Linked DNA regions of Stegostoma tigrinum. The protein of the gene in region 3 purifies or fractionates together with the protein of the main gene of each other region. This does not show direct contact. Links are inferred from orthologs where the notes say so. Each region holds a gene or a part of one and is shown on either strand. Other genes may lie near its edges.

Region 1 (9,931 bases), on a different chromosome or scaffold from region 3:
TACTCAACTATCCACTCCACCCTGCCCACTGAACAACCAAAATTACCCCCTAATTGCATCCACCTATGGCCATATACTCCCCCCACCCCCTGTCCCTCTACTTATTTCTGGGCTCCCCTCCCCAGTTCTGACAAAGGTTTTTGGCCCAAAACATTGATTTTCCTGTTCCTCAGATACTGCAAGACCAGCTATGCTTTTTGAGCTCCATATTTATTGACTCTAGCATCCAGCATCTGCAGTCCTTACTGTCTCCATGACAGGCAAGCATTCAACACGAGAGACTGAGATAGCGAAAACCAGCCTTTAGAAAAAGACACTTTTTTAAAAATTAGTAATATTGGCTGTGGGATAAAGTGGTTATCCCTGCTGTCTCACAGTGCCAGGGACCCAGGTTTGATTCAGGTGACCGTGTGGAGTTTGTATATTCTCCCCGTGTCTGTGAGAGTTTCCTCCGGGTGCTATGGTTTCCTCCCACAGTCCAAAGATGTGCAGGTTAGTTGGATTGGCCATGCTAAATTCTCAATCGTGTCCATGGACGTGCAGCCTAGGGGGCTTAGCCACAGGAAAATGCAGGGTTACCGGGACAGCCTAGGGGTCTGGGCGAGATGCTCTTCAGAGGGATAGTGCGGATCCAAATGGCCTGCTTCCCCGCTGTAGGGATTCAATGTTCAAAAGGGGAGCAGTTCCCTGCCAAGAGATCTTCCACATCCGCCTGGAAAAAGGGGTGTTGAACAACCCAACTGAAACATGTCAACTCTGGCAGAGCAGCACTGCCCTTGGGCAGATCAGCCTGGATTCTGCTACTCAAGTATCTGGGGTTGGAAGTTGAATACAAAAAAAGTCTCCTGTCCCAACTGGCCAAACCACTGAGCCATAGCTGAAAATAATGCAAACCTAAAAGGCTGATGAACACTGTGTAACACATAAACAGGATGAACATAAAATAAACAGATTAATATTTCCTGCCCAGTGAGATCCCAGCCCCTTTCCTGATTGCTGATAATATTTTTACCTGCAAATAATTAGTGAGAGGTTTGAGAGGACGCAACTTCACTTGGGACTCGGTTGGGACGTCCGTGAGGGAGCAGATAAGAATATTGATATCGACTTGTTCCCGGCAGATGAACAGATTAAAGTAAACAAAGGCTTTCCTCCTCAGAACAAGCCCATCCACTGCTTCCATGCAACAAACAAGGAGACGACGCGGAGAATGCGTTACCTCAGCCCCTCAGGCTCGGCTCCACAAACAGCGCCCTCAAGAGGCCTGGAGGAGAGTTTGCCCTTTGTTTCCTCACTTTGTTTGATTGGGTAGGATTTGAAAATTACTCACAACCCAACAGATTTTATCTTTGTAAATATTGGTTCTATTTCGCCAAATGCATTTATTTCGCTGGAAAGGAATACTTTCATCTTTGTATGTTTGTCTACTTGTTCATGGGATGTGGGTGTCACTGGCTACTGGCTGCTATGTATTCCTGCCCCCGAAGGTGCCTTTCACACAGGACGTCTCAAAGGCCTTGATGGCAGATGAAGTTATTTTGGAGTGTTGTCCCTGTTGCTAAGTAGGAGATACAGCAACAAACCTGCAATTACAGCACTGTGATCGTCTTTTTTTTGCAGTTTTGATTGATTGCCAAGTGTCAGACAGGAGGGCATAACTCTCTTACTACTCTTTGCAATAGTACCATGTCTGCCAGATGGCGCAGATGCAACCTTAGTTTACTATCTGAAAGACAATACCACACCAGCTTGGATTTTTTTTTCATTTACATCTCCGGAGTTGGACTTGGGCCTATAACCTAATTCAGAGGTGAGAGTGCTACCTTCAGAACCACAGCTGCCACCTGCACAGGATTGTCACTACCCCTTTATCCCTTTGCTTATTATTTGTTAATGGGATGTGGGCATTCCCAGGCCACCAATTATTGCCCATCCCCAATTACCCTTGAAAACTGGTGCTGAATTGCGGTCTTGCACTGCTGCAGTCTGTGGAATGTAGGGCCAACCACAGTACATTTAGGAAGGGCGTTCCAGGATTCTAACTCAGTCGCACTGGAGGAACAAGTCAGGATGGTTGTAGTTTGGAGGGATCTTGTAGGTGGTAGGGTTCCCAAGTAATTAATTGTTTATACAAAGGATCATGGTTGTCAATATATATTAAAGTTACATAAAATCACATAATTGTACAAACAATTGTTCACGTGTGGAGAAAAGCTACTTGGTAAGTATATCAGCGGATGTCAGCGTGGACATCATAGCTTCAGGGTCAGGGCAAGGAAAGGTGGTTCTCAAAGCACCAAAATATGTTGACAAGGTAATTGTAAATAAGAGCAGATCTCAGCCCATCCATGAAATGGTGCACAACTGAAAGCTTGAATTAGACGTGGATCAGAAATAAGGTTGAAGTTAGATTGGAGAAGTGAAAGGTTGTCTGCAAACCCAGAACTAGCTTTAAAAAGGCAAACATTCAGAACTGAATTGCGTTGTAATTTTTAGATCTCGTACAGGTTTTGGTTCCCTCTGTCCTTCTCTGAGTCCTTTCACAAATAACAGAAAAGACCCGTTTACCCCCAAGTTGGCACAGAATGATCGTAAATTTAAATGGGAGAAAATGAAATGGCATACTGTCACATTTTTGAGATTGAATAAATTAAACTACATTCCACAGATAAAAAAAAGTAAACCAAAAAGTAATACTCAAATGTTTTACACTGATCGTACGGTCCTCCATTTTAAAGTATCTTGGACAATTTGGTTCATATGTGTCATTCATCAGTTTTACTGTTTTTTTTCCTCTGGTTATTGTTAGGGATTTACACCAAATTGTGCATAAATTCAGGTGTTTGCATACAGGTTAAGTAATTGATTAGCTCCACAATCACAACATGTGGCAGTCATTTTTGGATTGCCAGGTGAGGGTCAAATTTGAGAAGTAGATTAATGACCTCTTGATTGGAATTTGTAACTTGGTCACAGACATTAGAGAAGTGCCAGGTTTGCACGAGGCCACAGCACCCCCGAACTTGTGAGGACAAAATCTGCAAGGTTCCCACTCTTGATGATTATTCGCTGATTTAGACAATAACATGAATTTCAAATAGAATTGTAGTTAACCATGATACACTCAAATCAAATAGGCGCTTAACTTTGACTGACAAGGCACTGGAATATTGTATTGTAAGATTGACACCAGGCTGGAAAAATACCACAGAATACCTTCAGAGAAACAAACAAAGGGAGCAAGATAAAATTGATATATCACAAAAAAAGTCAAAAATACCCAATTTTGGCCTTTTTTATGTAGTTAACATAATTAAATCAAGCTGAGGTCTATACCAGAGTTACAGTCAAGAAAGCACACCAATGCCTCTACTTCTTCAGAAGGCTAAGGAAATTTGGCAGGTCTATAATGACAGTTAACAATTTTTATAGATTCACATGGAAAACATCCCATGCAATGCATCACAGCTTGGTATGGCAATTGCCCAAGACTGCAAGAAATTGCAGAGAGTTGTAAACACAGCCTTGTCCATCACACAAACCAGCCTTCCGTCCATTGCCTCTGTCTACACTTCCTGCAGTCTCAGAAAAGCAGCCAATAATAATCAAACACCCCACCTACTCCGGTTATACTCTTCAAACCTCTTCCATCAGGCAGAAGATACATAAGTTTGAAATCACATACCAACGGATTTAAGAATAGCTTCTTCCCTGCTATTATCTGACTTATGAAGGGACATCTCATATATCAGAATTGATCTTTCTCAGCACCTTCTTTTAGTTTTAACACTACATTCTGAATTCTGTACTATTACCCTGAAGCAGTTATGTAACGTATGATTTGTCTAGTTGGCAAGCAAAACCGAAACGTCAGCTTTTGTGCTCCTGAGATGCTGCTCAGCCTGCTGTGTTCATCCAGCTTCACACTTTATTATCTTGGATTCTCCAGCGTCTGCAGTTCCCATTATCACTCATCAATAATTTCCACTGTAGCTGAGTACATGGGACATACTGCTAGTGTTGCTGCCAAACATCGCATTACGTCGCTTGTGTTAGTGCCAGGAAGTGCAGTTATCATCAGTGCCACAGTACCAGGCATAGTCTCCATTACAAAAACAAAAATTGGTGGAAAAACTCAGCAAGCCTGGCAGCAGCTATAGAAAGAAAGCAGAGGTAATGTTTCAGGTCCAGTGACCCTTTTTCAGAACTATCTATGTTGGTTGTGTTGGTGCCAAACAGTGCAATTATCATCGGGTTAGTGGGCAAGCACTACTGTCTCACAGTGCCAGGCACCCATGTTCAATTCCAGCCTCGGGTAACTGTCTGTGTGGGGTTTGTACAATCTCCCCATGTCTGTGTGGGTTTCCTCCAGGCGCACTGTTTTCTCCCACATCCAAAGAATTGTCGATTAGGTGGATTGGCCATGCTGAATTCTAGTGCCCAGGATGCATAAATTAGGCGCGTTAACCATGGTAAATGCAGGGTTACAGGGATAATGTAGGTGAGGCGAAACCGGGTGAGATGTTCTCCAGAGAGTCGGTGTGGACTTGTTGGGTCGAATTGGCTGTTTCCACATTGTAGGGATTCTATACAATCCCAAGGTGACAGGCACAGTCAATCTGGTAGTGATTGAGATAACAAAGTGTGGAACTGGATGAACACAGCAGGCCAAGCAGCATCAGAGGAGCACAAAAGCTGACGGCTGAAATGTCACCCTTTGTGCTCCTAAGATGCTGCTTGGCCCGCTGTGTTCATCCAGCTCCACACTTTATCTCGGATTATCCAGCATCTACAGTTCCCATTATCTCTGTTAGGGATGGTACCAGGTAAATAATCAGCATCAGGGTCACAGAGCCAGGCTGATGGTACCAGGGCCAGCCAGTGGAGGTCCTCCATCTGTTTGGGAGGTCTGCAGTAGTTTATGCCGCAGGGATGCTCTTGCCTCCCGCCCGGCGGGTGGAAGCCTCGTTGTTCCGGAAGCCGGTCGGTACCGGGGTCCGGGTGTTGGGAAATGGCGGCCGGAGACTGCGATGTGACGATGGCCCCGGAGCCGAACGGAGCGGGAGAGGCCGATCTGGAGAGGTAACCGGGAGGGGAAGGATACTGCTGGATCCCCAGGCGGATGAAATAACAAACAAGGGCTGGGCCTTGCCTGGAAGCGGGGCTGGGTGATTGAAGTCCCTGAGGGTGAGATATAGGCCCCGGGGGAGAAGGCGGTTAACCCTGTGCCCGAGGAACACAGGATCCTGGAGAAGGACAGGCCCAGGCTGCGGTCACAAGTCCCATCGCGTTATCTGCGTTAAACATGTCTCAGGCGTTTGTCAGTTTTATATAAACGGCTGAAAAATAATTGATCATTTCTCAACCTTTGATGCTACAACTATCCTTTCCTCCTGTTGGTGCCTTCGTTTATACTCGGCACATTCATATTTCTTCAAGATAGTTATTATTTCTAATTTACAGGCTTTGGAATTTTAGACAAGATTATTTTGTGTCCAGGAAGCAGCTCTCCCCAGAATCCACGTGGGGCTTTGTGCCAATAATGAAATGGCAACCTTCCTTCCCCCACCCCCCCCCCACCACCATAAATACTAGAACCTTCCTCTTAGAACACTTACGAAGATGTAGTCTGCGTTTTACCAGATATCAATTTGTTCTCACTCCATTTTATTTAATTCCCAAATGGTCTGATTTATCAAACATTGGTTTGCTCAGCCAAGTGTAATAATGTGGGTTAGAAGACCCAGGCTCTGCAGGAGCCAGAGATTTCTCAGTTTAGGGATAACTTCGTTCATTTTTGTTCCGAGACATCTTTCCCCACCCTTCCCCTTAAATCTAAAACTTCATCAGAGAATAGATATGCAATGAGCAGTGTATTAATTCACCAGTATTTGTTTGAAGTCAAGTCTGAATACAGTACCAGGATTTTGTGCCCAGAAATGTTGTTGGAAATATATTGGGGTTGTAAAGTATTCTTGGCTGTAGAAGGTCAGGGATGACTTTATTGATTTGTTTCAGATGATAAAATAGATGTGATTGATTGAGAAATCTACCACCTGTAGTAAGGACGGGTTTGAGGGACAGAATGGCCTACTCCTATGCCAGCATTTCTTTGAACTGATTATTGATGCGCCCTTGTTTCTTGTACTTTTTATCCCACACTCCAAAAAGAAATTACATGCCCTGAATGTAAGTGGGCATTAATTAAGCCAGAAATAATAGTGATGTTGAAAGATCGAGCACATCTGCCTTTTTACAACTCTCATTTCTGAAATATTTGCAAACTCCCGAGTAATGCCTGTTTGTGAAATGAGTATTTGTGTATATTTACATGAGGTAGAAAGTTCTTTTAGAGATCTAGCCCGAGAAGTTGTGGACTGAATGGTTGCCACTGTATTGGAAAATTATACGATGATTCCTTTGCTATTTCACCCATGATTGTACTAATTTCAACGTACAATTAACATTTTGATCTATTCCGTTACATGAAACCTGTATTGAATTAGCTTTGATTCTTCCCAGGCATACATCCATGGAAGTCCATCACCTTGAAATCGTTTGACTTTTATTCATCAGTCTGCAGAATAAAGATCCTGAAAAGAGAGCCCATTAGACTTGGCACACTTGTATTGGCCCTCTGAAAGCTTAACACTTCTACTCTTTCCTAGTACCTTTACTTAAGTTTTTTTCTTCAATATTTTTAATCCTTCTTTAAAGATGGTAATAGATTCTTTACAGCCCTGTTTTCTTTTGAGTATCCTTTGTGCTATTCAAAGGAAGAAACAAATCTTATCCTTTTGTTCTTCTGATTAGCTTAAATTTACACAGCTGCTAGTTTCCAATTCAGAAACCGAGGAAATTAACTTTCTCCAAATTTGCTTCATGTCATAGAATCACAGTCATACAGCACAGAAACTGCCCTTCTGGCTCATATCCCTCCAAATGTTTCCTGTTCATAAATTATCTAAATGTCTTTTAAACGTTATGTGTATGGGATTGTCTGATGGCTTTTAGGTCAGGAGAGTTGTGGTAAGGGCTATGTATCGAGGTAGAGAATAGCATGTGAATGTTTATAACTGTGCTTAGAAACAACCCTATTCGGAAGCTCACCTGCAGACTTGTTAAGTAATTCTTTCTCGGACCCCGACTTGCATATGTCTGGGAAACGTTATGTGTGACTGAATTGGAATTCAAAATGGACGTCTTGTGGAGGAGTATTTGAGCAGAGACAAATAGATCACATCAGTCTTCCAAAAGCCTGACAGTGGGGTGCTATTACTCAGCAGTTCACAATTAAACATTAAACTCATTACATAAAGGGGTTATGTCTGAATTTCAGAAGATTTTGATTGAGTTTGTCCGTTGAATGCTTCATCGTTGCAGTTTTCATTTATATAACACTTGTTCTTCCAGACAACTGTGTGGAAACTGTTAATTATAGAACGGTTACAGATGACATAAAAATGTTATATTTGTCATCAGAAGTCTTGGGTGACAAAATTTTCTTTCTGAAAGTGCGCTCCAACTCTTATGATAAAATATTACAGGTGTACTTCATGCTGAAAATTTCTGAGCTAATTTGGTGTTGGGGTAGGTTAGTGTAGAGCTGGAACACTATTAGAACATAGAACAATACAGCACAGTACAGGCCCTTTGGCCCACGATGTTGTGCCGAACTTTTACCTGAAACCTAAGGTCTATCTAACTTCCACCCCTACCTTATACTATCATCCATATGCCTATCTAATAGCAGCTTAAATGCCCCTAATGAGACTGGCCCCACTACCCTCTCCAGCCATGCATTCCACGCCCCTACCACACACTGAGTAAAGAAAAGTACTTCACTGCCTCCCTAAGGGGTAAACAATGCAGTAGGAGAAATATTATAAATTGCAAAATAAGAAGGCGTCTCAATATTTTGCAAGTTTCAATCAGATTCCCCCTGATCCTTCTAAACTCTATGGAGTACAGAACCAGAGTCCTCAACTCTCCTCATGTGACAGATTCCTCATCCCTGGGATCTTACATGTCAATCCTCTCTGGGCTCCTCTGAAACATTCTACCTTAGATTCAGGGCTTGAAATTGCTCACAATATTTCAAATATGGTCTAACCAGAGCCTTATACAGCCTCAGCAGGACATCTCTGCTCTTGTATTCTAACCCTCTTGAAGTGAATGCTAACATTGCATTTGCCTTCCTGACTGAACCTGCCTGTTAACCTGAAGAGAATCCTGAACTTGGGAGTACCAGAAAAACTCTGGTTTGATCCACTTGCAGTAGTGTTGTTTAGAACTGAATGTTGGACTGGTGTTAGCATTTTTTACCGCTTATCATGTTGCAGATCATGCCAGTCAGATCTGTTACATGGGTAAGTTTGAATTTATTTGAGAGCTGGGAGCTCGTACAAAATGGCTGTTGCTCATGTTTTATTTTCTGTAACTTGCCCACAGAGGCAGTTTCTCCACATCTGTAAAATATTCTGCTGTTAGTGTTGGAAAAGTTTACCTGTTGGGTGATAGAAATTGTCATCTTTGGCAGATCTGTTGAACCTTTATCTAAAAGGGTACAATAGTATTTCCAGTGATTAAAAGTGATGTAATTCCTGAAAACAAAATGAAAAAATATCAAGTGGTAGTATTTGCTGCTGTCCAATGATCAAGTGTAAAAAAAATTATTTTAAATCAAATTAGGAAACACCTTCTTAGTAGATGGATCTTGAATCCAGACCTGGAGTGGGGACATTGCCACAAGACCTTGGCGAGCAAGCCAGTGGATTCAAATGAACTGAATCTTTTAAGTTTGACCTCCCAAATTAATTTGCTGAATGACTACCTTTATATCTCAGATTAATTAATTCAAGTTAAATTCCATCAGCTGCCAAGGTCGGATTTGGGCCTCAGGATTATTCATCTAATTACATTATCATTACAAACTGCTTTCCTGGAATATTAGCAAGTCTTATATGAAAAGGTAGAGTAAATTGATAATATTTCTTACAATGCACCAATTAATTTTATCAAATCTGTAATGCATTCAAGGGTTTCTATAGAATGCTGTATGTTTCATCATTTATTGGCTTGTCAGCAAATCGATCTTTTCAACATATTTATTCTATATTCAGTGTGCCCATGAACAGAACACTCTTGTGTGGCTTGTCAAGATGATGAGGGGAAAATACAGCAGTTAGTTTCCAGAGTTCTGGCTTAAATTTCCCAGGTATATGACAATATTAAGCTTGTGCCCTGAATCAGTCTTAGGGTCTCAGATTTAAATCGGTTTGCAGACTAATTGCATAAGACTTGAATTGTAATTGTAAACAGTTAATAGCAGCCAACCAGCTCTTAAGGAGAGATAAAACCTGAACTGAGCAATGATGTAATAATGGGAACTGCAGATGCTGGAGAATCCAAGATAATGAAATGTGAGGCTGGATGAACACAGCAGGCCCAGGAGCACAAAAGCTGACGTTTCAGGCCTAGACCCGAAACGTCAGCTTTTGTGCTCCTGGGATGCTGCTGGGCCTGCTGTGTTCATCCAGCCTCACATTTCATTATCTGAGCAATGTTGCCTGTCAGTAAGGAGTGAATGGCCGTGTTGCTTTTCTCTACAACATACGATCATTGAGCAGGACTGGCAGTTTCTCGGACCTGTTCTGTCATTCAATAAGATCACAGCTGACCTGATTATAACCTCAAATCTGCATTCCCACCTACCCTGATAACATTTTACCTCTGGTTTAATGAGGATCTATGTATCTCTCCTTTAAAAATTTCTTGAGGTTTATTTTATTCACTTGGAAGAGGTGGGCATCATTGGCTGGACTAACATTTATTTCCTGTCCTTAGTTGCCCTTGAGAAGCCTTCTTAGGGAAAACAGTTTCACTTTGTCTCTGTTTTAAATGGGAAACCCCTGACTTCCAACCAGTGACA
Region 2 (9,931 bases), on a different chromosome or scaffold from region 3:
TATGCAATTACATTTTAACAGGAGTGTACAGCAAGCAACATTTTCAAAGGCTTTTGCTACAAGACCAAAAGCATTGCTTTTACCAATTCACTGATGTAGCTTAGGGACTAGAGAATACGCAATAGTGTATCTGCAAGAGCAACACAATCACTGACAGAAACTTCTGCATTTGTTTTGTTCTGCACATGTGCAGACTGCCTAAACTGCCAGCTTCAATGCAGCAAAGGCAAAGAATGCAAATTGCTTTGCCATTATCAGTGCAAAATCTGGACCAATAAGAACTTGAAATATATTAAATACGCACCTTTCAGTGATTGGTTGAATGAAAACAGTCACCTCAATCCCAGAACTGTCAAATGTGCATTAAAATATGAAATGTTGCATACCTATAGCACAAGTAAGTATGTGTACAACTATGCCTGCATTCTCGTGGTTATTGTTCACAATTCAATGCAGTGTGAACCATTCAATCTGAATACTTTACTGCAAAATCCCTAACTTAGTTAACGCAGAACTGTTAATCTTTCAGATCACTGACCTTCTATTGAAGTTGGATTTACTAGAGGAATTTTGACACAGTAAAAAAGGAGAAACTGTTTCCAGCAGTAGAACAGTCAGTAACCAGAGGATACATAATTAAAAGTAAGGCAAAAGAACCAAAGTCAAGATAAGGAAACCTGCCCTCCTGCCCCAGCTCGTTGTTTAAATCTGGAATGCACTGCCTGAAAGTCTTAACAAGGTACTAAATAGTCACTTTCAAAAGAATTAGATAAATTCTTAAGAAAATTGTGCCAGGGGAACAGAATTAATGTTCAGAACCATTCACAATTTCTCAAATAACGAAGCAGTCCTACTCTACACACAGTAAGGACAGCACAATATTCAGATGTGGGCCGATAAATTGCAAGTAACGCTCGTACACAAGTTCCAGGTCATAACCATTTCCAACGAAAAAAGAAACTATCACCCCACATCATTCAATGGAACTTCCAACATTTAACATTGCATTAACATTCAGAAGTTGAACAGTACCAGCTGCATAAATACTGTGGCCGCAAGAGCAGGTCAGAATTTGGAAACAATTAACTTACCTCCTAACACCCTGTTCCTGTCCACTAAGTCCCAAATGTGATTGAATATATTCAATTTGCCTGAATGACTGCATATTAACACTCAAGAAGGTTGACATCACAAGGTAAAAGCAGCCTGAATTTTTTTTTGGGGGGGTGTCAACATACCATCGAATATCTTCAACATTCATTCCCTCTACCACTGACGCAGTGGCAGCATTATATCAACTACGAACTCAAACAACTGATAAGCATATAATTATAGTTAGTAACACAATAGTTCTAAATAAGGTGCTGAAAACCAGATTACTTATCTGCCTGTGTGACAAACAATTCTATCAGAAGGGAAACTAATACAGTCTTCTCAACAACTATCTAAATCACAGAACAAATTCCATGAAGATGGTAAACAAGAATTAACTTTGTTCTCCATTACTGCAATGAGACAAGGATTTGTGCTAAGAAACACAACCTAGTATCTTTGCTGCTTCTACAAACCCACATTTGTCAGATGTATATTTGATTAACTGAAATATACAGCTTTCCTCTAAATACTGGACTGCAGCGGGTTCATTTTAAAACACCCTTAAAGGGTCTTATGGAAAATTACAGCATCAGACAGGCAATTTCACTATCATATCCTAGTCAGTCACAGCTTTCCAGATCGAATCCCATTTTTCTTGTGAATTTTTGATCTATTGTCCTTAGTGTTCAGGGATGTGCAGATTAGGTGAGTTATAAGGGAGATGGGTCTGGGTGGGTTGATATGAAGGTCAGTGTGGACTTTTTGGGCCGAAGAGACTGATTCCACACTGTAGAGATTTCATGATTATACTGCCATTTTACATTAGTTCACAATTTTCCCACTCTCTAGGTTTATTTAATCTCACCTGAGTTCTTTAATGACTACCTATCATAATCTAGTGTAAAACACGGATCAAGTACTATGCCTCACAGAACACCAATCCTTCTCTTCATTTATTGTATTTATTTTAAAAACCAAACTTCTACGAATGTTTTTACAATTCTTAAATCATTCATTTAGTTCCACTCTCTTAATACTATAAAGTCTCAGTATCTAACATTCTGAACAAATAACAAATAAGGGCAAACAGCAAATTTTAGTGACTGATGAACTATAAAAATGTAACAAACCACATTATGCATTTTGTAACAACTTGGTAAGAACAGGAGGCAGAGAGGCTGGAAAAAGGAAGCAACGTTGTTTGTTCATCTAAAGGCTTAGCTACCAATAATGGAGCGAAGGATAAGGAGTTAGAGATGGAAGATTGCTGGTAACTGTGGGATTAAAGAGACAGAAATCCACAAAGACAAAGTAAATTCAATGTAAGGATGAGAATTTTAAATTGGAGCCAACATAGGTCGCAAAGGACAGGAGCAATAGGTCAGCAGGGTTTACTTTAAGATAGGATAGATGAAGCAGTTTTGATTAATTTGACTTTAGTACATTAATGATAGGTCAGCCAAGACATGTCATCTTTACTCTAATGTGTAATTGACAAATACACAGATGAGGATTCAGATGAGTCTGATATTTGCTAGAACAAAAGGGTCCATTTGATAGATGAAGATGCACCTTTGCATAATAAAGTAAGGTTGTGAATCGCCTACGTGAAATAGGATATCCAGATTTAAAAAGCAGCACAGACAGTGTTCCTACACCCCAAGGACTGCCGCAGTTGAAGGAGGCAGTTCATCACCTTTCCAGGGCAATTAGGAATAGGTAAATAATCCTGGTCAAATGTCTAGCCAGCAACACCTACATTCAATAGAACAAATGTAAAATATCAAGGTACATGAAAATGCACACGGGAATGCTGATTTAAAAGGTTTCTCCCCCTCTACAATATAACAATGCCTAACTAGGTTGCACATGTTGTGGAAGGATGATCTTTCATTAAAATTTGCCTGAAGTAGGAAAGCCCACACAAGAAACCTGCAATTTTTTTGTTAACATTCTTAGAGTAGTTAACAAGATACAGAATAACATCTAAAGCCATGCAGAAACCTCCTGTACAAAACCCTTCAAGAATTGAAGCATGAGGCTTGAAAAGATTCTCTGCTAGGCCACTATGTTCCGCATACAAAGTAAACCAACATATCTTCTACATATCGCATGAATTTTCACAAGATTAATGTTTTGATTTTTTTAAAAAAGTATACACTGTCACATTATTTTATTCCATCCTCTCTTTTTAAAAATAGAGACAAACAATGAAATGCATTCACAAATATGTTGAACTAAATTTAAATGTACAGCATGCAAATCTCTCCTTTTGCTTTGTTTCAAACCCTTCCAGCGCTACAAGCTTTAGTATACCGTAACAGTCCCAGACTCCGGGGCTTTGCACAAAAACAAATTTTTACAAGATAACTGACAGCAATGCGACTTAATGGCCATGGAGACCACAAGAGCAGCTCCTTAGACTAGGCCAGTCAAAGTCTCAAAGTAGTAAGCAGTAGCTCTTGCCAAATCCCCACACCCGCCCACCAAAACAAAATTGAATAAATCGTTTCACAATTAATTTGACATTTCCATGAATTAGTTAGGTCAGCACAAGAGCAGCCTCAAATTTTCAGGGCAACATTCAGCTGTCATTACTTAAGGTAACAAACTGCCATGACCTAATGTTCAATTGCCCTTTTGTTACTTTGAAATATATAGCACAGTAGCTCAGCACTTAGTATGGCAGCCTTACAGCACCAGGGATCCAGGTTCAATTCTACCCTTGGGTGACTGTATGGAGTTTGCACATTCTCCCCATGTCTGTGGGGTTTCCTCCAGGGGCTCTGGTTTCACCCCACAGTTCAAAGATATGCAAACTAGGTAGATTGGCCATGCTAAATTGCCCATTAAGCCCAGGGGTGTGCAGGTGAAGTAGGTTAGCCATGCGATATGCAGGGTTACAGGTAGGGAGATCAGTCTGGGCGGGATGCTATTTGGAGGGTTGGCGTGGTCTTGATGGGCTAAATGGCTGACTTCCACAGTGTAGGGATTCCATGATTCTAAATACCAATTCTGCATAGGACACTAAATGATTAAAGGATGCCCAAGGTAGGTTTTTCTTTCTTTCAAGAGCAAGGTACGAAATATACTCAAAACATCTCAGTTCAGAACGCAAGAAAGCTAATACCTGCAATTCCACGTTTCCAAACGATATGGAGACAGATCCAAACTATAAGAACGGCGAATGCTGTATATCCGAAACAAAAACAAATTGCTGAAGAAAGTCGACAGGGTGAAGAAAAGCTCACTGGATCCCAAACTTTAACTCGCCATTCGCGCCACACATGCCGCTGGGCCTGAGTTTCTTCAGCAATTTCTGTTTTTGTCCCAGACAGATCAATATGCGCGTAGTTTCCTAAACTCCCTCAGCTAACAGTAACGAAAATTACCGATCATCGCTTGGAGCAATATTATGATGTCTTTCAAATCATTCAAGAACATAATGACATATTTACACAACAAACGAAAGTGCGACTTCAAATACTGGTCTGCTCGGTTTGATCCACTTTGTATCTATGATTCACCTCGCAGAAATACAACTTACTTGCACTTGAGCTCTCCGGTCGCGACGGAAGACATTAACCAGAGCCTTTCTAGATCACAGCCCGGCTAATTTTATCAGCAACATTTCAAACACTTCCGCCGTCACCATCACTTCCCTCCTGAAAGGCCTCACTAATGTCCCAGGCGCTGCGGTAGCGGTCAAAGATAGGCCCCCGGTCGGGGGGAATGGTGGTTGCAGTAACACAAAATGGTGTCGCGGTCAATGAAGCGCCACCGGGTGTTTCCGAATCCCAGGCGTGCTACTGCTCGGAAGGGGAGGGGAAACGCTAGCGGACGCCGGTGACAGCAGCGCCGGCAATACCAACACCCAGACCACCCCCCCGCCCCACCTCCTTCACGGCTCGCTGACCCAACCCCCCCAACCACCTCTCCAATCCCTCAAAAGGGCGGCAGGTGAGGCGGCCCCGCTCTGCTGATAGCAACCACACCGAAAACGGCCAGATCCTTGGTTCATTCCTGTTAAATTCGCTGAACTTCGGTTTCTCCCCCAACTCCACTTCGTCTACCCACAACACACCAACAATCCAGGCAGCGGCCTAGCCGGTCAGGCTTCAGGCTGTGCGCTGTTTCCTTAAAATTTTGCCGAAAGGCACTGGCTAAGGAGGAGAGTATTGTTTTCCATCTCGATTCGTGCGTGTCACCGGCGGGCCGTGACTCACCTTTTTGAGTTCGTTTTCCGTAGCTCCGGAGCTAACTCCGAGGATGTCGTAAAGCTTTGTGTCCACTACCGACGCCATCGTGACAGAGAGGGAGGAAGAAGCTCGAGCACCGGCCGCAAGCTGGCAGGCTCCGGAAGTGACGTCTGACCCTGGCCTCACATAGAGCGCGCTGACGTCACCGCCGCGCGGCAAAGCGGGGGAGGGGGCGGGGCCTGGAGACGTTACGCCACAGACGCTAGAAGTCAGGGTCTATTGGTGTGATGCTTCAAAAGCGCAGCAGGTCCGGTAGTGTCTGAGAGGCAGCAAAGGCGAATGTGTGAACTGAAACCCTTCGTTCGAGACTGGGGTGGGGAGAGGGTGGCAGGTGGAATTTTTAAAAAAATTCATTCACAGAATGAGGGTATCGCTGGTTAGGCAGTATTTATTGCCCACTCCTAATTGCCTAGAAGGCGGTCAAGAGTCAACCGCATTGCTGTGGTCTAGAGTCACGTGTAGGCCAGACCAGGTAAGGATGGCAGTTTCCAGATGTGTTTTTCCTGACTATCAGCAATGGATTCATGGTCATCATTAGACTCTTAATTCCAGAATTTTTTTTTTATTGAAGTCAAGTTCCACCAACTGCCCTGGTGGGACTTGAACCCTGATCCATTATCTGGGTCTCTGGATTAACAGTCCAGCAATAATACTACTAGGCCATTGTTTCCCCAGTACGACAGGTAGTGGGTTACAGTGATTGGTCAATGTGAAGGGTGAAGTGTTTAGGTGAGTAGGAAGATGGTCAGGTCAGGGAGGTGAGGAGGAGGGCTAGGACATGGGATAAGGCTGGGAGATAGATGGACTTTGAAGGTGGTGAAGTCAATGCTGAGGCCTCACGGTGACCTATGTTTGGTGTGCAATAACTGCACCTCCCAGTTGTGAACCATTTCAACTCCCTCTTGCATACTGAGATGACATGTCCATCCTGGGCCTCCTGCAGTGCTACAACGATGCTGCCTGAAGATTGCAGGAACAGCAACTCATATTCCACCTGGGAACCCTGCAAACCAATAGTATCAATGTGGATTTCACAAGCTTCAAAATCTCCCCCCCGGCATCCCAAAACCAGCCCAGCTCGTCCCTGCCCCCCCCCCCCCAACCTGTTCTTCCTCTCACTTATCCCCTCCTCCCACCTCAAACCACACCTTCATTTCTTTCTTACTAACCTCATCCTGCCCCCTTGACCTGCCCGTCCTCCCCAGACTGTCCTATCCCCTCCCTACCTCTCCACCTACATTCCACTCTATAGGTGCCATCCCTGCCCCTTTAACTTGTCTGCTTTTTCTCCTCTATCCATCTTCGATCTGCCTCCCCCCTCTCTATTTCAGAACCCCCTCGCCATCCTCCTTTTCTGATGTAGGGTCTAGGCTGGAAATGTCAGCTTTTGTGCTCCTAAGATGCTGCTTGGCCTGCTGTGTTCATCCAGCTCTACACTTTATTATCTCAATGCTGAGGCCATTGGGCTTTAAGCTCCCAAGGTGAAATATCAGGTGTTGTCCCTCCAGTTTGGTTTTTGACCTCTCTCTGACAGTGGAGAGAGCCAAGGTGGATATCTCTAAGGGGACTGGGAGTGGGAATTAACGTGGATGGCAACAGGAAGGTCGACTTGGTTGATGCATTCAGAGTGCAGATGCTCCAAAAACTGGTCCCTGAGTCTGTGTTTGGCTCTCCAGTATAGAGGAGACCACATCAGGAACAACAGATGCAATTAGATCAGGTTGGATGAAGTGCAGGTGAATCTCTGCTGGATTTGGAAGGATTCTTTGTGGCCTTGGATGGAGGAGAGCGGGGAGGTGCAGGAAATGGAAGAGATGCAGTTGAGAGCATCCTTAATTACAGAGGAGGGGAAATTATGGTCCCAAAAGTAGGATGCTATCTGGGATGTCCTGGAGTAGAATGTCTTGTCCTGGGAGCAGGTGAAATGGAGGTGGAGGAATTGGGAGTATGGGGTAGCTTTTTTTTTTGCAGGAGGGAAGCTGAGAGGTGTAGCTGAGGTAGTTGTGGGAGTCAGTGGGTTTGAAATGGATGTCGGTGGTAAGTTTGTTTCTAGAGGTGGAAACAGGGGTCCAGGAAAGGGTGGGAGGTGTCATAAATAGTCCAAGTGAATTTCAGGGCAGGGTGGAAGGTATTGGTGAAGTTAATGAACTGCTTGAGCTCCTAATGGGAGCATGAGGCCGTACCAAAGCAGTTATCAACATTGTGGAGGAAATGGTGTCACTGTGGCCTCCCAGCCATGTCATTAGCAACATGAACAGAGATGGTGGATCCTTCTCATTTCACACACTTTGTGGCCCATCATCACCAGGGAGTCCATCACAACCTGAATGCCAACGTAAAGTTTTACCACAAAATGGGAAATTAAAATTATCCGACTGCTGGTTGTGCTCAGCAACATTTGTGGAGAGCAAGCAAAAATCAAGCAAAACGCCACACCTTTCTGGCCAATGACCTTTCAGCAAAACTTGCACAGAAACACAAAGCCAAAAAGGGATTGGGTGCAGAAAATCTGAAGTTAAGTGCTGGAAATGCTCAAGAGGACATTCATTACCCACACATCCCGAATTGTCCAGAGGATAGTTAAGAGTCAACCATATTGCTGTGGGTCTGAAGTAACATGTAGGCCAGACTGGGTAAGAATGGCTGTTTCCCTCCTTAAATGGCATCAGTGAACCAGATGGGTTTTTCCCAACAATCCGCAATGGATTCATGGTCATCATTAGACTCTTAATTCCAGATATTTATTGAATTCACATTCCACCATCTGCTGCGTTGGGATTTGAACATGGGTTCCCAGAATGTTATTTGGGTCTCTGGATTAACAGTCCAGCAAGTATACCATTAGGCCATTACCTGCCCCAGAGTTTATAAGAGAGTTCGTGTTTTAATCAGTCAAGATATATGTTGACCATTTATACGTATTTTTAACTAGAATCTATTTATTTGTGATAAATAACAAGTCAGAAATATGGAAACATGGCCGATGCTTATGATTAACCTGCGTTGAAAAGGCAGGTTATTTGGAGAATTTTGCGTACTTTGATATCTTTAACTTTGGTGATGACTTCAGGAATAGCAGGGCTTAATTTCTTGTCTGCTGCCCCATTGAGATGTTGGGTTTGTCTAAAATCAGTTTGAAACAGAGGCAACGTGGATTTGGGTGTGGTAATAGTACATGAAACAAGGAAAGGAAACAGCAGGCTCTGTCCTGCATTTATGACAAGGCACTAGAAATGACAAAAGACTTCCTGCAAGTGACTGGGTTGTTCCTAACAGTCATAAGAGAACTTTCAAAGCTCAGTTTGATTGAATTTTGGGTAAACTGGAGGTCGCATTGTCTGACAGAAATGTGAAAGCAAGTGTTATTGAGGATAAAAGAAAATGCTGTGGATATTGTAAATCTGAAATGATCACAGAAAACTCTGGAAAAACTCAGCATCTATGGCAGTATCGACAGAGATAGAAACGGTGTTCGTGGTTTGAATCCTGTACAACATCTTCAGAATTGAAGACGATTAGAATTTTTTAGTATATTTTTAACAGTGATGGAGGAAGAGCAAGGGGAACATGTGGTATGCAAGCCTGGCGCAAAAGATAAATGGATTTGCTTTATTTGTTAAAGGAGACTTTGAAGTGATTGAATTGAAGTTTCCAAGGTTACAAAAATAATTTTACGAAGTCATCTGGTTGAATTATTGTTAATTGTGTTGAAAGAGAAACAGAGATGTAAAAGTTGTGTAAATTAAGGGAGGAAATGGGTTCTCCATCTTGAGGTATAATTGAGGCACTGGCATGGCACTTGGGTTTAGAGGAAACACAAGGTGGGTCCCACTGATGAATAACTGCATTAAAAACACTTCTACTTTGCAATACAGCACCTAAATGTGACATTTGGAGGCATGAAACACTTTACACTTAACCTTTCAGGATGTTACACACTCCCTAGAAAGCTTCTGTTTGCTTCACAAAAACTCAATCCTGGCTGCCTTTTATGGGCTTCTGAAATGTCATGCCACCAGACATGAATGGTGTGCAAGAGGAAATTTGAGTTAAAGTGGTCAACCAACTGTAGTGATATTAGGGGAGGGAGTGGGTGTCACATCCTGACAACTCGGTACGGTCAGAGAAACAGAGTGGGGTTGGAATTGTTGAGGAAAATTTTATTTCCTCCAGAAACAAACAAAGCCCATGCTCACAGTAGAACAGAAATTCAGTCCCTGCTGTTGTAATATTGTTTCCCTTTTCAACGTTTTGTGGGTTTATATATTAGCTATCCATACTCTTTCATTCTTGACAAAGTGTGGGGCTGGATGAACACAGCAGGCCAAGCAGCATCTTAGGAGCACAAAAGCTGACGTTTCGGGCCTAGACCCTTCATTTCTGATGAAGTTTCTGATATTTCAGTGCCTGCTAGAGGCAATAATTTCACCAGATGACTTTGTAAAATTATTTTTGTAACCTTGGAAACTTCAATTCAATCACTTCAAAGTGTCCTTTAACAAATAAAGCAAATTCAGCTTGCTTAGCCTTTCCACAAAAGTTAGAGTACTTATTGCAATGAATCATTATGGTTTATC
Region 3 (9,931 bases):
ATGAGGCTGGAATTAAACTGGAATAGGTAAGTGTGTGCTGGGCTTTTTGTGGAAATATTTGTACCATTGTAGCCAGGGAAGACTCCAGGGTGGCTAATGTGGTGCACTTTATTTAACATAGGTGGCAAGAAAAGCCAGGAATGATAGACTGGTGAGTCTGACACCAGTGGTGAATAAGCTGTTGGAGGGGATTCTGAGGGACAGAATTTATATTTATTTTGAAAGGCAAGGACTGATTAGGGATAGACAGCATAGTTCTGTGCGTGGGAAATTGTATCTCACTAATTTCATTGTGTTTTCTGAAGAAGTAGCAAAGCAGAATTACGGTGGTGTTGTGTACATGGACTTCAGCAAGGTGTTAGACAAGGTTTCATGGAATCCAGGGAGAGCTAGCCATTTGGATAGAAAATTGGCTTGAAGGTAGTAGACAGACAGGAGGCCTATGACCAGCTGGATCCACTGCTTTTGTCATTTATATAGATGATTTGGATGTGAACATAAGAGGAATGGTTAGTACATTTGCAAATTGGTGTAGTGGACACTGAAGAAGGTTATCTAAGAGTACAACAGGACCTTGAACAGATGGGCCAATGAGCCAAGGAGTGGAGATGGAGTTTAATTTAAATAAATGTGAGGTGCTGCATTTTGGTATGCCAAATCAGGGTAGGACTATTAGGCTTAATGGTAGGATCCCCACTGTCGGCAATGCTGCCAAACAAAGAAACCTTGGAGTGCAGGCTCATGGTTCCTTGAAGGTAGAGTCACAAGTAGACAGGATAGTGAAAGAAGCCAATTGGTATGCTTGCCTTTATTGGTCAGTGCATTGAGGAGTTTGGAGGTCATGTTGCAGTCTGTTCAGGGCACTGCGGTTAGGACACATTTTGAATAAGGTATTCAATTCTGGTCACCCTAAGATAGGCAAGATGTTGTTAACTTGAAAAGGTTCAGAAAAGATTGACAAGGATGAAGGCCACAGTTGGTAGGTTTGAGCGACAGGGAGAGGCTGAATGGCCTGAGGTTATTTTCCTTGGAGTGTCAGCAGCTGTGGGGTGACCTTATAGAGGCTTATAAAATCACAAGGGTAAATAGACAAGGTCTTTTACCCCAGGGTAGGGGAGTCCTAAATTAGAGAGCAAAGGTTTAAGGTGAGAGAGGGGAAAGATTTAAAAAGGACCTAAGGGGCAATATTTTCATGCAGAGGGTGAGAATGAGCTGCCAAAGTGGTAGAAACTGATACAATTACAAAATGTAAAAGGCATCTGGATGAGTACATGAGGCTGAAGGGTTAAAAGGGATACGGCCCAAATACTGGCAACTGTGTCTAGATTAATTTAGGATATCTGGTCAGCATGGACAAGGTGGACCGAAGGGTCTGTTTCCTCACTGTACAGCTCTAAGAGGCTAAGTCAGCACGTCTTCAGCCCATTTCCTGCTTGGTGGCAATTTCACTGGCATCCACCACTTAGAGTAAGAGAGAGGGATGTTTTTCACCTGCAGTGCAGGTGCGTACCCTCAAGCTACAACCTTCACAGCAAGTTAGTAAATGTCATTGCACAATCATACACAGACCAAGAGCCTTGTATTCCTGGAAAGGTAAGACCCAAACATAACCTGCTGAAGCATAGTCCTCAGGAGATGGCTTTTTGCTGAGAGGGATAGTCAGACTTCCATTATCTCTTTCTTTTAAGTCTTTGGTTTGAAGTTTCCCTCTCACTCCAGAGTTGTAACACTTCATAGGTTCCACTTGGGGCTTTTTTAAAATCAGGTATGACTGAATTTACATTCACAGTCAACTCTTGGTTGTATGTGCTCTTTCAAAAACTATTTGTGGTAACTAGAAGTTCAACAAGTCTGTAAGTAATGTGAAGTTATGATCCCTTGTTATGACAGCGAGAAACTGACTGATATCAGTTTACAATGAAAAATGTGAGCGATGTTGACCTCGATAGTAATTTGGGCGAATAATACAGGTCAAGATTGCACTAATGTGACAATTTCGCACTTGGAGACAACCCAAATTTTACAATCCAATGGCAACTTAAACACAAGCTCAGAGAGACGAAGGGAACAAGGGAGTGTGAGAGAGGGGCAAGGGTGAGGGTGAGGGCCAGGCAGGGGCACAGAACAAGAGAGAGAGGGACAGAGACAGAGGCATGGCAAGAGAGAGAAAGGGAGGCACAGCGAGAGTGAAAGAAAGAGAGGCACAGTGAGAAAACAGACAGACAGAGACATGGTTCTGCATGGTTTATCTCCACAGTCACTGTTCAGATTGCAAAGGTCTAGGAATATACAGGATGCTGTCCTCACCAGCTGAAAGCCGGGGACATGCCTTTTCTCCAACGCCGTGGAATGGGACTGTGTCACAGACAGAATATCTACACTCCCATATGCCACTTGGACAGAGCCAGACAAGAGCAACCTTGCTGGGTGCCCATGTTGGGGCTTCCTGCTCAGCTTGCTGTCTTCATCCAGCTCTACGCCTTATTGTCTCAAAAAATGAGCCAGCCAGGATATCAGGAAGAAACTAAAACAAAATTCCAGCAGTGGCATTGATGTGTTGATTGGATTGGCATGCTTGCACTGATTCTGGTTGAGGTGGATTTATGGAGGACAGGATCCTCTGTGAGACTCCCCAGCTCTGAAGTGCTACCAAGGCATCTGCTAATATTAGGGTCATAGGTTTATATCATATCCAAAATGCATTACTATCAACAGTGCAACACATGACAGTGAGAAACTCCAACAGGGTGCTCCCTCAACGCTGACCCTCCGACAGGGTGGCACTCCCTCAGCACCGACTCTCCACTCCCTTCCATCAAAAACAATGTTGTTTTTGTCATTCATACATTGCATCTATCACCCATCACAGTTGTCCCTAGATGTAACTATTAGATTGCCTTTTCAGAGGGCAATCAACAATCAACCCCATTGCTTTGTGACTGGAGTCACACGTAGACCAAACCGGGTAAGGCTGGCAGATAGGACTGTGAGGGCACGAATGAACAGATTTTTTAAAAAACAATTGACCATTAGATTTCAAAACGGGTTGAATTCAAATTCCCCGTCTGCTATGTTGAAATGTGAACCAGGTCCCAAGGACACGTCCTGTGTTTCTAGACAAATGATTGAATGATCACACCACTCAGACATCAACTCTCTGATCTGTTGTGAGCGATATCAACTCTTCCAGTCTCCCTCCGTCTCACTCAGTATGAAGCACACTCAGACCTTTGTTCGAACAGTGCTTTTTTGAACAGTATTTCAGATTCATGTACAAGTATTAACTTGCATAATCAGGCAACAGAAGAGAAACTCAGACACACAATCATACCTGCAATCCACTTCAACCTGCAATCCCTCTAAGATAAAAGATCGGAGATCGCTCTGCAGATTCCACCCTGAAGACTTGCTGACAACACACTGTGTACTTCCAAGCACTGGCATCAATTGGACAGCACAAGAAAAGACCACTCAGCCCATCATGCCTGTTCCAGCTCTGTTCTCCCCCCATAACTCTGCAAATTCTCCCTTTCCAATTATTTCTCCAAACACCACCTTTTGAAAGTTCCTCTCGAATCTGCTCTGACCTGCAATAGGGGTTACGGTGAGAGTTAGAGTGAGGAGGTTTATTCCAGATCGCGAGAAATTACTTCGGAAATTAAAGTTACTCTTGCTTCCCTTGTTGAGTAAAACCTTCTTCCCTCCCCCACTCCACTCTTGAAAGCAGTTGGACTTCATTTACCCGATCAAAGCCCATTATTATTTTTCATTCATCACAGAACATGGGGATTACACTTGGAAGCATTTCCAGCCCTTGCCTAACTGCCCCAGAAGAAGCTGACGGTCTTGAGCTGTTCCAATCCCTGTGGTGGGGGAACACATGCCAAATGTGGGGGGGGGAAATGGTGCTCCAGGATTTTGACCCAGAGGGAGCGGACGAAAGGTGAACTGACCCCTTCCTAGAGGAGCCAAGTGGGCAAAGGGATGGGAAAATCAGTGCAATCTTGATGTGTCGAAGGGCCTGTTCCTGTGCTGTACTGTTCTTTGACCTAACCCTGCGGGCGTTTTCAGCAGTGAGAGTGGCAGCGAAAAAAACAGCAAGTTAACGGGCTCTACACCAGCTACTTTCCCACCCAAAGTAAATAGGCCACAGTGGGAGTGATGGTGTTGACCTCAGGACTGAGGCTGTCAGAGAGGTCCACAGAAAGAGGTTACTGTGCTATTGACCATTTTGGTGTTTTCATTGACCATAAGAGAATGTGTGTTGGATTCTGGGCTCTCACAGGAATTAAAACTGGAGGATCCCACTGCATTTAAGTGGAACTGCCTAACACACATCAGAAGACAGAAAGGGCCTTTCGTTGGCTCACTGCCAACACCTTGAAGCTGGTCGGGTGTGGCCGGAATGAACAGGGTGAACTACACAAGAGCAAACATGTCTCCACCCCACCCCAAAGCTCCGCGAGAGACCTGAGAGGCCATCAGCCTTTCAGATTGCTGCTACTATTCAACCCAATTTGAGAAAGCGGCCCAGAACAGCAGGAGTAGCGATGCTTTCCTGAATCCACCCGCGACAAGCTGAGGCGTTGGCGAGGAGACAGAACTGGAGGTTATCCAGACTCTCAGTCAAGGCGAGGCAGGAGAGAGGAAGATGAGTGAGACAAATAAGTTAGTATCATAAACCTCAACCCTTCCCCTCCACCCTGCTGCAACGAAAAGACTAAGCTTCCAGACCAGCTGCCCCATTCCCCCACATGCAAACCTGAACTATTCATGACCCCTGCAGAATTAACAGCAGATTCCTTCATTCTCACTGTCTCGGTCAGAGTTCACTCCAGTTTACTTTTTTTTCACTGCCCCTGCCGCCTCCTCCAACCCCTCGCCCCCCCCGCCCCTGTCGCCTCCTCCCCCCCGCCCCTGTCGCCTCCTCCAACCCCTGCGCACCCCCCTCGATGTCTGTCACCTTCTACTACTACAGCTCCTGGACCATCCCTCCCGACTCCCTTCGTCTCCACTATTTGTGACTGCCTGGGCCCCCACTCTGGAATCCCCTCCTAAAACTGCTTTTTCTTTCTCCTCCAAAATGCTTCTTTAAATAATAATCTCTTCAAACAAGCTTTTGGTTGGTCAGTCCTCACAGGGATTTCAGTTTCACACAGCTCCGGATAGGAAGGTAGAACGCGCTACAGTGAGCGAAACGGCTGCTGTTAAAATGGAAATCGATGTTGTCGAACAATAAGAGTTAAAACTCCCTCATAATCTTGCTGGGACTGAACAGATACACACGGACAAAGGTTGTCGACCCATTACTTGCAAAGCCGCACTTTCTCAGTAACTTACCCACGACTTAATTCCAGGAGATTGGAGGCTCCCCTTAAGGCGGACAAGCAAAATTCCTCGCCAGATTTGCCCAAGTTAGCCTGGGGCTATTGCCACGCAGCTCTGCCAAAGTGGGTGCGAAGCAACAGCCGATTTCGAGCGGAAGCTGGCTCAGAGAAGTTTGGAGAGCAACAGGGACAGAGAGGAGTGGGAAGCATCTAACGAGAAAACAAACACACCTAAAAGCTGAGCTTCCGCAGAAGGGGAAAAGAAAAACAAAACGCCAGGGAGCCGCCTATGTGCACAGAGTGTGTGTGTGAGAGAGAGAGAGAAAGCTGTAGGAGATTTAAAGTCGCAGTCCACTCCCAGTGTTGCGAGCCTTAAGGTAGGGATCCTGCAGAAATTTAAACTTTTTTTCTGGTCTTTTAAAGTAACTTCTCACTTGGGAAATATTTAAAGGGACAATTTTTAACCATTTGAAAACTACCAGATATTTAAAAGGGACAAAAACAAAGTTGCTGGAAAAGCTCAGCAGGTCTGGCAGCGTCTGTGAAGGAGAAAATACTTCGGGTCCGGTGACCCTCAGAACTGTTCTGACGAAGGATCACCGAATCCAAACTGTTAACTCTGTTTTCTCCTCCACAGACGCTGCCAGACCTGCTGAGCTTTTCCAGCAACTTTGTTTTTGTTCCTGATTTACCGATTCTGCAGTTCTTTTGGTTTTTATTCAGATATTTAAAAGGACAGACTGATAACCTTGCAGCACGCTTTCTAGTACTGGATTGAAGAGAGATAACAAAGTGTGGAGCTGGATGAACACAGCAGGGCAAGCAGCATCCCAGGAGCACAAAAGCTGATGTTTCAGGCCTAGACCCTTCATCGGAGAGGGTTCTGAAATAAATAGGGACCAAGGGGGAGGCGGACCGAAGATGGGTGGAGAGGAGAGGAGAGTAGAGGTGGGGAGGGGATAGGTCAGTCCAGGGAGGACGGACAGGTCGAGGCGGGATGAGGTTGGTAGGTGGGAAATGGAGGTGCGGCTTGAGGTGGGAGGAGGGGATAGGTGAGAGGAACAACAGGTTAGGGAGGCGGGGACGAGCTGGGCTGGTTTTGGGATGCAGTGGGGAAGGGGGAGATTTTGAAGCTTGTGAAGTCTACATTGATACCATTGGGCTTGGAATTCTGCTTGGGAACCCTGCAGCCCAATGGTATCAATGTGGACTTCACAAGCTTCAAAATCTCCCCCTTCCCCACTGCATCCCAAAACCAGCCCAGCTCGTCCCCGCCTCCCTAACCTGCTCTTCCTCTCACCTATCCCCTCCTCCCACCTCAAGCCACACCTCCATTTCCCACCTACCAACCTCATCCTGCCTCCTTGACCTGTCCATCCTCCCCAGACTGTTCTATGTCCTCTCCACCTATCTTCTTTTCCCTCCATCTTCAGTCCGCTTCTCCCTATTTATTTCAGAACCCTCTCCCTATCCCCCTCTCTGATGAAGGGCCTAGGCCCGAAATGTCAGCATTTGTGCTCCTGAGATGCTGCTTGGCCTGCTGTGTTCATCCAGCTCCACACTTTGTTATCTTGGAATCTCCAGCATCTCCAGTTCCCATTATCACTGGATTGAAGAGAAACGTCTTCACTCAGAGGGGGAGGGTTAAATCTTTGGAATTCCCTGCTCTGAGGTATTTGTTTATATTCCCTCACTGCCTCCACACGATTGACATGCCAGTGAGAATACCAAGAATTTTTATACATCTGTATGGAGCAAGAGGGTAGCCGAGGAAAGGGTTGGCCCACTCAAGGACAAAGGAGGGAATCTGTGTGTGGAACCAGAAGAGATAGGTGAAGTCTTAAACGAATACAGAAATAATGGGAACTGCAGATGCTGGAGGATCCGAACTAACAAAGTTTGGAGCTGGAAGAATAAAGCAGGCCAGTGCTCCTAAGATGCTGCTTGTCCTGCTGTGTTCATCCAGCTCCACACTTTGTTATCTCTTAAACGAATACCTTGTGTCAGTATTCACCAAAGAGAATGAATTGATGGAGGATGATCTCAGAGAAGGGAGTGTCAAATTTCTAAGCCAAGTTGCTATTAAGAAGGAAGAGATATTGTGCATCTTAAAAAGTATTAAGGTAGATAAGTCCCCGTGTCCCAGAATATTGAGGAAGGCAGGAGAACAAATTGCTGGGGTATTGACAGGCCTCTTGGGCCACAGGTGAGGTCCCAAGGACTGGAGTACAGCCAATGTTGTCCCATTGTTTAAGAAGGGTGACAGAGATAATCCTGGAAATTACAGGCCTGTAAACCTCATGTCGCTGGTCAGCAAATTATTGGAAAAGATTCTCAGGGACAAGATCTACACTCATTTAGGAGCGAATGGACCTATTAGTGATAGACAGCATGGTTTTGTGTGGAGAGAGATCATGTCTCGTTAATTCGTTTTTTTTGGGGGGTAGCAGTAGAAGGGTGCTTTTCGGAATGGAGGATTGTGAGTAGTGGCATTCCACAGGGGTGAGTGCTGGGACCTCTGCTGTTCATGGACTACATAAATGATTTGGAAGAAAACATTATTTAGTAAGATTATTTAGTAAGTTTGTGGACGATACAAAGATTGGTGGAGTTGCAGATAGTGAGGATGATTGTCAGAAGACACAGCAGGATATAGATCAGAAATAGTAGGAACTGCAGATGCTGGAGAATCTGAGATAACAAGGTGTAGAGCTGGATGAATACAGCAGGCCAAGCAGCATCAGAGGAGCAGGAAGGCTGATGTTTCGGGCCTCGGCCCATCTTCAGAAAAAGGATCTTGTTAACACCTTGTTATCTAAGATATAGATCAATTGGGGGCATGGGCAGACAAATGTGAGATAATTTTGGAATATCAAGTGAAGATGGAAATTATACAATAAATAACAGAACCCTTGGGAGTATTGATATGCGGAGGGATCTGGGTGTGCAGGTCCATAAGATCACTGCAGGTGGCAGGACAGGTAGAAAAGGTAGTAAAAAAGGCCTATGGCATGCTTGCCTTCATTGGAAAGGGCACTGAGTATACAGATAGGCAAGTTATGCTACAGCTTTATCGAACTTTAGTTAGACCACACTTGGAATATTGCATACAGTTCCAGTCACCAAACTACCAGATGGATGTGGCTGCTTGGAGAGGGTACAGAAAAGGTTTACCAGGAAGTTTACTCATAGGTGATGTTTGATATGAGAAAGTGTTGGATTAAGTGGGTTTGTCTTTATTGGAACGCAGGAGGTTGAGGGGTGACTTGATAGAACGTCATAAGATTATGAATGGCATTATTGGGTTGAAAGTAGAACAAAGAACAGCACAGCACAGGAATAGTCCCTTCAACCCTCCAAGCCTGCGCCGATCCAGATCTTCTACCTAAATCAGTCACCTATTTTCCAAGGATCTGTATCCCTCTGCTCCCTGCACATTCATGTATCTGTCCAGATACATCTTAAACGACGCTATCGTGCCCGCCTCTACCACTCCCGCTGGCAACACGTTCTTGGCACCCACCACCCTCTGTGTAAAGAATTTTCCACAAGTATGTCCCTTAAACTTTTCCCCTCTCACCTTGAAATCATGACCCCTAGTAATTGAGTCCTCCACTCTGAGGGGGATAAAGCTTCTTGCCATTCGCCCTGTCTATACCCCTTGTGATTTTGTAGACCTCAATCAGGTCCCCCCCTCAACCTCCGTCTTTCTAATGTAAACTATTCTAATCTGCTCAACCTCTCTTCACAGTGAGCACAGGCATTTTCCCAGGGTAGAGGAGTCAATTGCTAAGCAACGCAGGTTCAAGGTGTGGGAGTTGGCGGGGGGGGGGGGTGTGCACGTTTGAAAGAGATGTGCAAGGTACGATTTTCACACAAAGGGTTGTGAGTGCTTTGAATGTGCTGCCAGAGGTGGTGGTGGAAGCCGGCACAATAGCATTCCAGAAGTACCTGGTCAAATACATGAATAGGAAGGGAATAGAGGGATACAGATCCCGTAAGTGAAGATAGTTTTAGTATAGACGGGCAAAATGTGTCAGTGCAGGCACAGAGGGCTGGAGAGCCCATTCCTGTGCTGTGTTGTTCTTTGTTCTTGTTTGTCCAGCTCTGGTCAGCTCACTTGGCAGAGCTGGGTCTACAGTGTAATGCCCAGCACTGTGGGCTGTGAATCCAGTGGTCTGAGTTCAAATCTAGGTGGGACCTCAGATTGTCAAAACAGTCATTTAATTTTGGGCATGCAAGTGAAAATTGCCTATGGAGCAAGAGTAAAGCCAGTCCTTTTAACACCTCCAAGTTAGATCTCATCACATAGAACAAAGAAAATTACAGCACATGAACAGCCCCTTCAGCCCTCCAAGCCTGTGCATGCTGCCCGTCACAACTAAAACCCTCTACCCTTCCAGGGACCATATCCCTCTATTCCCATCCTATTCATATATTTGTCAAGATGCCCTTTAAAAGTCACTATAGTGTCTGCTTTCACTACCTCCCCTGGCAGTAAGCTCCAGGCACACACCACTCTCTGCGTAAAAAAACATGCCTCATACATCACCTTTAAACCTTGCTCCTCGCACCTTAAACTCATGGCCCCTGGTCACTGACAC

The links. Proteins that work in one complex are often made in the same cells at the same time.
Region 1: the proteins of pld2 (region 3) and dnajc7 purify together in Homo sapiens (affinity purification with mass spectrometry; 3 studies listed by BioGRID and IntAct, counting the BioPlex papers as one, with this or other methods). This does not show direct contact. The link is inferred for Stegostoma tigrinum from reciprocal best matches to the Homo sapiens genes PLD2 and DNAJC7.
Region 2: the proteins of pld2 (region 3) and dnaja2a purify together in Homo sapiens (affinity purification with mass spectrometry; 3 studies listed by BioGRID and IntAct, with this or other methods). This does not show direct contact. The link is inferred for Stegostoma tigrinum from reciprocal best matches to the Homo sapiens genes PLD2 and DNAJA2.

Annotation. Positions count from the first base shown.
Region 1 is NC_081384.1:12,730,485-12,740,415, reverse strand, and holds the start of dnajc7 (dnaJ homolog subfamily C member 7), read left to right. Parts: upstream 1-4,948; 5' UTR 4,949-5,011; coding exon 5,012-5,082; intron 5,083-9,931. UniProt on the Homo sapiens protein: Acts as a co-chaperone regulating the molecular chaperones HSP70 and HSP90 in folding of steroid receptors, such as the glucocorticoid receptor and the progesterone receptor.
Region 2 is NC_081369.1:30,465,477-30,475,407, reverse strand, and holds the start of dnaja2a (dnaJ homolog subfamily A member 2a), read right to left. Parts: upstream 5,466-9,931; 5' UTR 5,400-5,465; coding exon 5,322-5,399; intron 1-5,321. UniProt on the Homo sapiens protein: Co-chaperone of Hsc70. Stimulates ATP hydrolysis and the folding of unfolded proteins mediated by HSPA1A/B (in vitro).
Region 3 is NC_081398.1:15,717,859-15,727,789, reverse strand, and holds the start of pld2 (phospholipase D2), read right to left. Parts: upstream 5,631-9,931; 5' UTR 5,341-5,630; exon of another isoform or gene 4,970-5,340; intron 2,441-4,969; exon of another isoform or gene 2,229-2,440; intron 1-2,228.